Elephas maximus indicus: one gene and its partner. The protein of the gene in region 2 purifies or fractionates together with the protein of the main gene of each other region. This does not show direct contact. Links are inferred from orthologs where the notes say so. Each region holds a gene or a part of one and is shown on either strand. Other genes may lie near its edges.

What was found.
Region 1: the proteins of cytochrome b-c1 complex subunit 7 (region 2) and cytochrome c oxidase subunit 6B1 purify together in Homo sapiens (affinity purification with mass spectrometry; 3 studies listed by BioGRID and IntAct, counting the BioPlex papers as one, with this or other methods). This does not show direct contact. The link is inferred for Elephas maximus indicus from reciprocal best matches to the Homo sapiens genes UQCRB and COX6B1.

What each region holds. Positions count from the first base shown.
Region 1 is NC_064829.1:114,617,884-114,621,631, reverse strand, and holds the start of cytochrome c oxidase subunit 6B1, read right to left. Parts: upstream 2,816-3,748; 5' UTR 2,709-2,815; intron 850-2,708; 5' UTR 839-849; coding exon 733-838; intron 1-732. UniProt on the Homo sapiens protein: Component of the cytochrome c oxidase, the last enzyme in the mitochondrial electron transport chain which drives oxidative phosphorylation.
Region 2 is NC_064833.1:45,714,005-45,717,752, forward strand, and holds the start of cytochrome b-c1 complex subunit 7, read left to right. Parts: upstream 1-1,158; 5' UTR 1,159-1,194; coding exon of another isoform or gene 1,195-1,213; intron 1,214-1,222; exon of another isoform or gene 1,223-1,898; 5' UTR 1,899-2,062; coding exon 2,063-2,084; intron 2,085-2,308; coding exon 2,309-2,380; intron 2,381-2,405; exon of another isoform or gene 2,406-2,919; intron 2,920-3,212; coding exon 3,213-3,379; intron 3,380-3,748. UniProt on the Homo sapiens protein: Component of the ubiquinol-cytochrome c oxidoreductase, a multisubunit transmembrane complex that is part of the mitochondrial electron transport chain which drives oxidative phosphorylation.

The sequences.
Region 1 (3,748 bases), on a different chromosome or scaffold from region 2:
ACTCCATTTCCCTCCATTCCATCCCGTTGCACGCAGGCATCAGGTTACATTTATAAGAACGTCTACAGCAGCATCATTCTCAGAGTCCCAAGCTGGAAACCACACAAGTGTCCCTGAAGAGAAGAGGTAAGTTGTGGAATACAGCGGAGCAATAAAAATGAACAAACTACATGCCACGGCCTGGCTGAATCTTAAAAATGTGAATAAACACATCCAAACACAAAGAATACATTTAGTATGTATGAAGCTCACTGAGAAGGAAACTTAAAAACTTGGTGATAAAACCCCAACTGTGACTGCCACCTGTGGGGTCATACCTCTAGTGGGGAGAGTAGGGGGCTGTGTTCAAGACAGGGCACGCAGAGGGCAGGGGAGTTCCGAGTGCTGGCAATATTCCACTTTCGATTCAGGCTATGGGTGCTTGGGGGTTCATTTCAGAATTATTCATGTAGCTGTACACTGTTTTATGTACTTCCTGTACATATGTTGCATTACACACACACACAAAACCAAACCTATTGCTGTCCATTCTTTAGAAATCAAAGTTTGTGATCGTGGCCGACCCTGGACATGCTGGCACTAGCTCTCCAGAGGTAAAAGAGGAGCTAGGACCAGTGTTAGGATGCATGGGAGACCCCAGCAGGGTGGGGGAAGGGGGAAGGAAAGGGGAAGGGGGGACTTGAGGCATGAGACCAGGGGAAGATCTGTGTTCTCCCACCACACCTTGCTTACCCAGGTAGTTCTGCCAGCAGTTCCTGGTTTGGTTCTGATTGGGGAAGCGGCTGTCAAAAGGGGCAGTCCGGTAGTTCTTGATTTTGCTCTTGATGTCTTCTGACATGGTGATGACTCCTGGAGGAGAGGGGGTGGGTGTTGGTAGGGACTCTGGGGTGCCTAGGCATGGGATGTCCATCCACCCAGGTCCAGACACAGAACGGATAGAGAAAGGACAAATCCATATCTCTGGGTGTGGAAGTCACAGCACAGTTGGGGACTACTCCTTAGCAAAATCAGGCCTGGCCCCAAATACACTGCCTACCACATGCCAGGTGCCGTTCTACACTTTACTCACAACAGCCCCTCTGTAAGGTAGAAACTGTCCCCACTGCACAGACGAGGGGACAGTGTCTAAGTCGCTTCCCAAGGTCACACACCATACACATGGTGGGGTGCTACACTCAACCACTGGCGTACCCTACACCATAGAGGCCGTGAACCCCTCAGGGGCCAGATGAATCCTATAAACCTTCCTTAGAATGTGTTTAAATATATTTTAAATTGCATAGAATCACAACAAAAACCAGTTATATCTTGCTGCAGCTTTATCAACCACGATTTTGAAGGAATCACACGTGAGAAGGATAATTCTATGAAATCTGCAGCAACTGTAATGTGACATAAAAAAAAAAACCCTGTTGCCATTGAGTCAATTCTGACTCATAGCGACCCTACAGGACAGAGTAGAGCTGCCCCATAGGGTTTCCAAGGAGCGCCTGGTGGATTCAAACTGCCGACCTTTTGGTTAGCAGCCAAACGCTCAACCACTGCACCACCAGGGTTTCCAATGTGATATAACAGTATCTGTGATTTTGACTGGTGACCAAAATACAGGTGCTGTTAATACTACGGAGGCTGCTGCCTCCATTCTAACTGAAGGAAATGCTATATTTGAATCAGAGGTTCCTAAAAATACAGATGTAATTTGTCCCCTCTTCAAGCGCTAGCATCCCTCGAATTCTATAGACTCTGCGGACATAGGGTTAAAAACTTCCGATATAATGTCTCTAAAGAGCTGAAGCACAGTCTTCGCCTGGGAATCTGCGAGAAACTGCCTCTGAATTGCAGGGAATCCGCGGCGTCATGGGTAGCAGAGAGATGCCCAGACCGGTGTTCAATTCAAGCGGCCAGCGCAGCAGTAGGGGTCAGGAGCATCGCAACAGTCTTCGGGAGAGGGGAGGTGGAGAGGAAGTCGGAGAGGAATGTAAAACACCAGCTGCTGGAACACAGCCGTGGGGACAAAGAGTAGCTTTATTCGGGCGAGATCTCAAATCGATATTTGGATGACGGTGGATCTGGGGTGAGGACGCGGACTTCCCAACGTCCAAGGAAAAGGAGGGGTCGGATACCAGCCACGCCGCGGTCCAGGCTAGCCCCGGGAGGTCATGCCTGCGGCCTGGTGATTAAAAGCACTGCAATACACACTAAACCAAAACCCACCCAAAATCCCGATTCCGACTCATAGCAACCCCACAGGACAGAGAAGAACTGCCCCAGAGGGTTTCCGAGGAACGGCTGCTGGGCTCGAACTGCCGACCTTTCGGTTAGCAGCCGACCTCGCAAACCCTGCGCCACCAGCGCTCTGCAGTCCAACTACTGGGTCCGAATCCTGGTCGCTGTGTGAACTCCGCTACGTCGCTTCCGTAACATCTCAGAGCTTCAGTGTCCCCACTGTCAAAAGGCGGTCATCCCAGGCTCGACCTCACAAGGGTGGAGGGAGGATTAAATGAATATAAGCAAAGCGCTTGAAAAGCCGCCTGGCATTAAAAAAACACTGCACAATCGTCAGCTGTGTTCACAGAACAGGCCCCCGGAGGCTCACGGGGAAGCCCGGCGTCACCGGCCGAAAGCCTCCCTCTGTTCTCGGGGAAGCTGGGGTCTGGTTCCTCAGTCCCCCGGCTGGGGTCCTAGGCTCCCCTGCCCGCCATACTCACCTAAAGACACCCCTGAAACCGCTCGCAGCTCAATGTGACCCTCAGAAGGCGACGCCTCTATCGGACCGGAAGCGGAATTAAGAGCTGACGGAAGTGGAGCGAGGCGAAGCATTGAGGAGTCTTTCGCGCGGCTAGAGCGCCCGCGGGGAGGCGGTACCCGGAAGCCGCTCTGGCACCGCCCACCCATGGAGCTCCGCCCTCCCATTGGGCTCACTGCCTGTTCACCATCACTCCCAGGCCAACCGTGAGCTGGCGCGGCACCTGGAAAGGCTCCCAGCTGGGGCTCGGGATACCCACTTACAGGCTCTCATGATCTCCCTATCTTTACCCCAGCAAGGTAGTTGTGGGTCCCGGGGCTGGCTGGAGAACGAGCCTGGAGAAGGCTATCCCATTGGAAGGACGTTTATTTGTGCAAGAAATATTTATTGAACGCTTACCCTATACCATGCAGTTCTATTAAGCGTTGAGGATACATTTTTGAACAACAAACACCAAAGTCCCTGCCTTCATGATGATTTTTAAGGGGCCAATTGTTAGAAGATTGAAAACAAACCAATCTCTCCCCCGGGGTTACTCATCACGTTTTGACCCAGACTCCACCTCCCTGCTCATCATCTTTCTCCAAACTTCATAAAAAAAAAAAATTTTTTTTAAACTTCATAAGGCACCAATTAATAAAGATTCGGGTGACTTGGGGCTGTGATGAGCCCTGGTGGCGCAATGGTTAAAGCGTTCGACTGCAAACCGAAAGGTCGGCGGTTCGAAACCAGCAGCGGGAGAAAGATGTGGCAGTCGGCTTTCGTAAACATTACAGCCTTGGAAACCCTATGGGGTCGCTGTGAGTGTGACTTGACGGCAGTGGGTTTCGTGTGGTTTGGGTTTGGGTCCGTGAAGAAATGATTCCATCGCGGCCTTAAAAACATATCCAGAATCTCCCCTGTCGTAGCTGGTTTAAGCCACGGTCACCTCCAGCCTGAATTATTGCAGTAGCCTATTCTCTGGCCTCCTAGCTACCTGCTGCCCTCCCCAGTCTGCCCATT
Region 2 (3,748 bases):
AACTCACATGGTTATGAGTTGGAATTAACTCCACCATTACATCTAATAACCCCTTGACTTTATAATGAGATGGAGCCCTGTACCATCCCAGATCTCAAGACCAAAGGGGAAAAAAAAGGTGGATATTGGTGGGTCGTTGTAGAACTACTGGTATAACTAGCCGTAACTGATTTGAGTATCAATCGTTTTCTGTTCCTAGATTTTTATGTCCTAGACTTAACATGTTGGGGCTGCGGCCACTATGGACTTGCTTGTATCTTAAAATTGTACACAAATTCTGCAGTATAGCTTTAATATTCTTAAACTTTTCTTTGACTTAATCGTCCACTTAAGTGGCTTGATGAAGGTCTTCAGCTGGAGACACGAGAGGTGTAGTGTCTTTCCTGGGTTAATAGTGTAGCACATAGCCCTACGATCAAGGAGCAGTGAATTAGAATCTGGGTTCTCTTGTATTTCCTGTGTGCCCTTGGACAAACTATTCAACCCTTCTGAGGTCTGTCTTCTCTACAATGGGGATAAGTACAGTACTTAACTCACAGATTTGTTGGGTAATCAAATGAGAAAATGCTGGTAAAACGCTCAGCAACACGCTTGGCACAAAAGTCTCAGTGCTGCCCAAGCTGTCATCACCCGGGGTTATACCTCACCGGTAGAGCGCGTGCTTAGCATGCGCGAAGCCTTCGGTTCAATCCCCGTACCTTCATTTTGGACACCCTGGTGGCGTAGTGGTTAAGAGCTACGGCTGCTAACAAAAGGTCGGCAGTCCGAACCCACCAAGCGGCTCCTCTGAAACCCTATGGGGCAGTTCTACTTCTGTCCTATAGGGTCGCTATGAGTCGGAACCGATTTGACCGCAACGGGTTTGGTCTGTTTTGGTTTTGAAGCTCTCACAGCTAGTAGGTAAGAGAAACCGGGCCAAAACTCAGGTCTCCTAATTCTTTGTCTAGTCATCTTGTCGCAAGGAACACTTCTTGGAACCGGTTGCGAAAAACGCGCAAACGACTCCCTCGTTCTGACCCTGTTGAAAAGCGCTGACAGCAGGCGCCTGACGTCGGCCGCCAGAGCTGCGCCTGCGCGGGCGTCCGCAAGCGGTGGCCTCCCACGAGTCAGGGAGTGACGTTATGCGCCTGCGCACTGGGCCCAGCTTGTCCTCCAGGACTTACCCAGTAGGCAACGCGTCGTTCTCGGGTCAAAATGGCGGGCAGGTCTTCGGGTAAGTGATTGGTATTTTTCCTGGTGGGCATTGCTGCGCTAAGCCTTTTATACTCGCAGCTTCTTGCTCCTTTTCCTGTGGTCACTCTGGGTGGCCAGGTTTGCGGCGTAAGGGGGGATAGCGGCTCCGGCCCTGTCAAAGGACGTGTTTCCCGCACCCTTTTGCTTTCCCCAGGCCGGGCTTGTGTAGGGGGTTGGGTTGTGGACCTGCTGTTTGTGAAGGTGCCAGCCGTAGTCTCTGACAATCCTGCGTTCCAGCTGCCTATGCTCCACAGTCCTTCCCCTCGGCCTTAGAAGAGTATGCGGCCCGAAACCCTCAAAGCCCAAGGAGATACCCGTTGCGGTCGAGTCGATTTCGACTCACAGCTTCCCTATAGGACAGAGTAGAACTGCCCCATAGTTTCCAAGAAGTGCCTGGTGGATTGGAACTGCCATCCGTTTTGTTTAGCAGCCAGGCTCCTAACCACTGTGTCACCAGGTTAAGTGAATGGACTAATGGTATTAAAATCCTTCCAAAAATACATATTTTTAAGAGGGTGTCCAAGTAAAATAAAGGTAATGTAGATAAAAATTCAGAGAGCAGGGGCCATTTAGGCCTGCCAGCCTATCCTACAATCTCACCCTCCTTACATACGACATACAACCCAACGCCCTGGAAAAACAAAGTTTACGGTTATTTCCTACAGTCTGTTTCTGAAACTACAAAGGAGAAGTTCTGAGGCTGTACCCCATCTCTCCACCTTCAGTTTTTTGGGGAGGAAATCCGTCTTCAGTTTGTATTTGATGTTTCGATAGAAACATTACATATGAGCATCTGCAGGTGAACATCTGAGAATGATAACAGCAAATTATGTGCTGCAACACTGTATATAGTACGTATCACTAACAATAAGATGTACAAAAAAAAACCAGACGGTTGCAAGTGCAGTTTGCCATAACTTGAATATGGTGTAAGTCAAGGACTACCTGCATTGTGTAAACTTACAAAAGGAAACCCCTTCTGTGTTTGAATTCTTTAATAGTACGGGTCGCTTGCCTATCAGAGTGTTCATAGAGTATGAGTGAATTGTAACAACTAACAGTGTGACAATATCAGTTGCAGCATCAGGCCGGTGGCTGAATGGTATTCGAAAATGGTATTACAATGCTGTAGGGTTCAATAAATTCGGTGAGTATCCGTGTTTCCTTCTCTCTCTCTTTTTTTTTTTTTTTCTTCATTTTCTGAGAGTGATGGTTCTGCAAGAGTCATTATAGTTCCAAAAAATAATTGTTCCTGTGTACATCAGAAGATTTTTAAATTAGGTCCTTTTTTTTTTTTTTTGGTAAACCCATTTTCCTTTTTATTATTCTTTTGACAGGAGAGAAATGGAATCATCTGGGTGGTTGAGGTAGAAATGATTTATGTTCTTGAACTAGGGTATTAGGACATTTTCCTTATAATACACTCCCCCCTTCCATCTTTTCCACTTCATGTTTTAAATTTTAAGTTACATAAACATTGAAAGTATGGATTTTTCAAATATTAAAATTGTCTGACATCTTTACCATTATCTGACTCCTGAACTCTTTCAGAACTTTTTAATTTGCCATGAACTTCATCTTGTGCTATCGAAGCTTGATGGAAGCTCCGATAGATGTTACTGACTCCCTAGTATACTACCATCATAAGGTTCTTCAATCTCAGATTTAAAGTATAAGAAAATACAGGTATGATTCATTGATGTGTGTTTAAAAACAAGGTAGATATTTTAAATATTTTTAAAATTGGCTAGATAAAATGTGAGATTGTGGCAGTGGATTTGAAAAGGCTTAAATGTTGTTTAGGAAATATTCCATTATTATGTGTAACACTCGTTGGTAGATTTCCACTGTACTTAGTAACATGAACCCTTGATATTTCACCCAAGTCCTAAGTTATAGATAATCTGTTTCACTCATTAAAAAAAATTCCTGATTTTAGAGGTGAATGTTCAATCTGACTCTCTTGTGTTCTGTCCTAGGGTTAATGCGAGATGATGTTTTATATGAGGATGAAGATGTGAAAGAAGCCATAAGAAGGCTTCCTGAGAACCTTTATAATGACAGGATGTTTCGCATTAAAAGAGCACTAGACCTGTCCCTGAAACACCAGATCTTGCCTAAAGAGCAGTGGACAAAATACGAGGAGGTAGAGCAAAATTTATGTATCTGACAATGTTGGCAAGTAAGGATTGCGTGTGTGTAACAATAGGAGCACATTTGTCTGGAGCTTTAGAGTTCACAGAGTTCTGTGAGATAAATATCCTTACAGCAGGCAGCCTGGAGAGGTTAATAGAGCAAGTGTTAGCCCGATTTTAGAGATGAACAAATTGAGGTGAAGTGACGCTTCCACAACGCTTAGTGAGTCTCTAATACAGAGTTTCGAGACTGTAGTCAGGTCTTCAGCCCCCCAGGCCATTGCTGCTTTCCCCTTTACACTCTGGTTCCTTAGATTAAAAGATCATGTTGTTCGTGTCATCAGCCCATTTAGTCCTCACCCTTTGAACTGCATAAACTA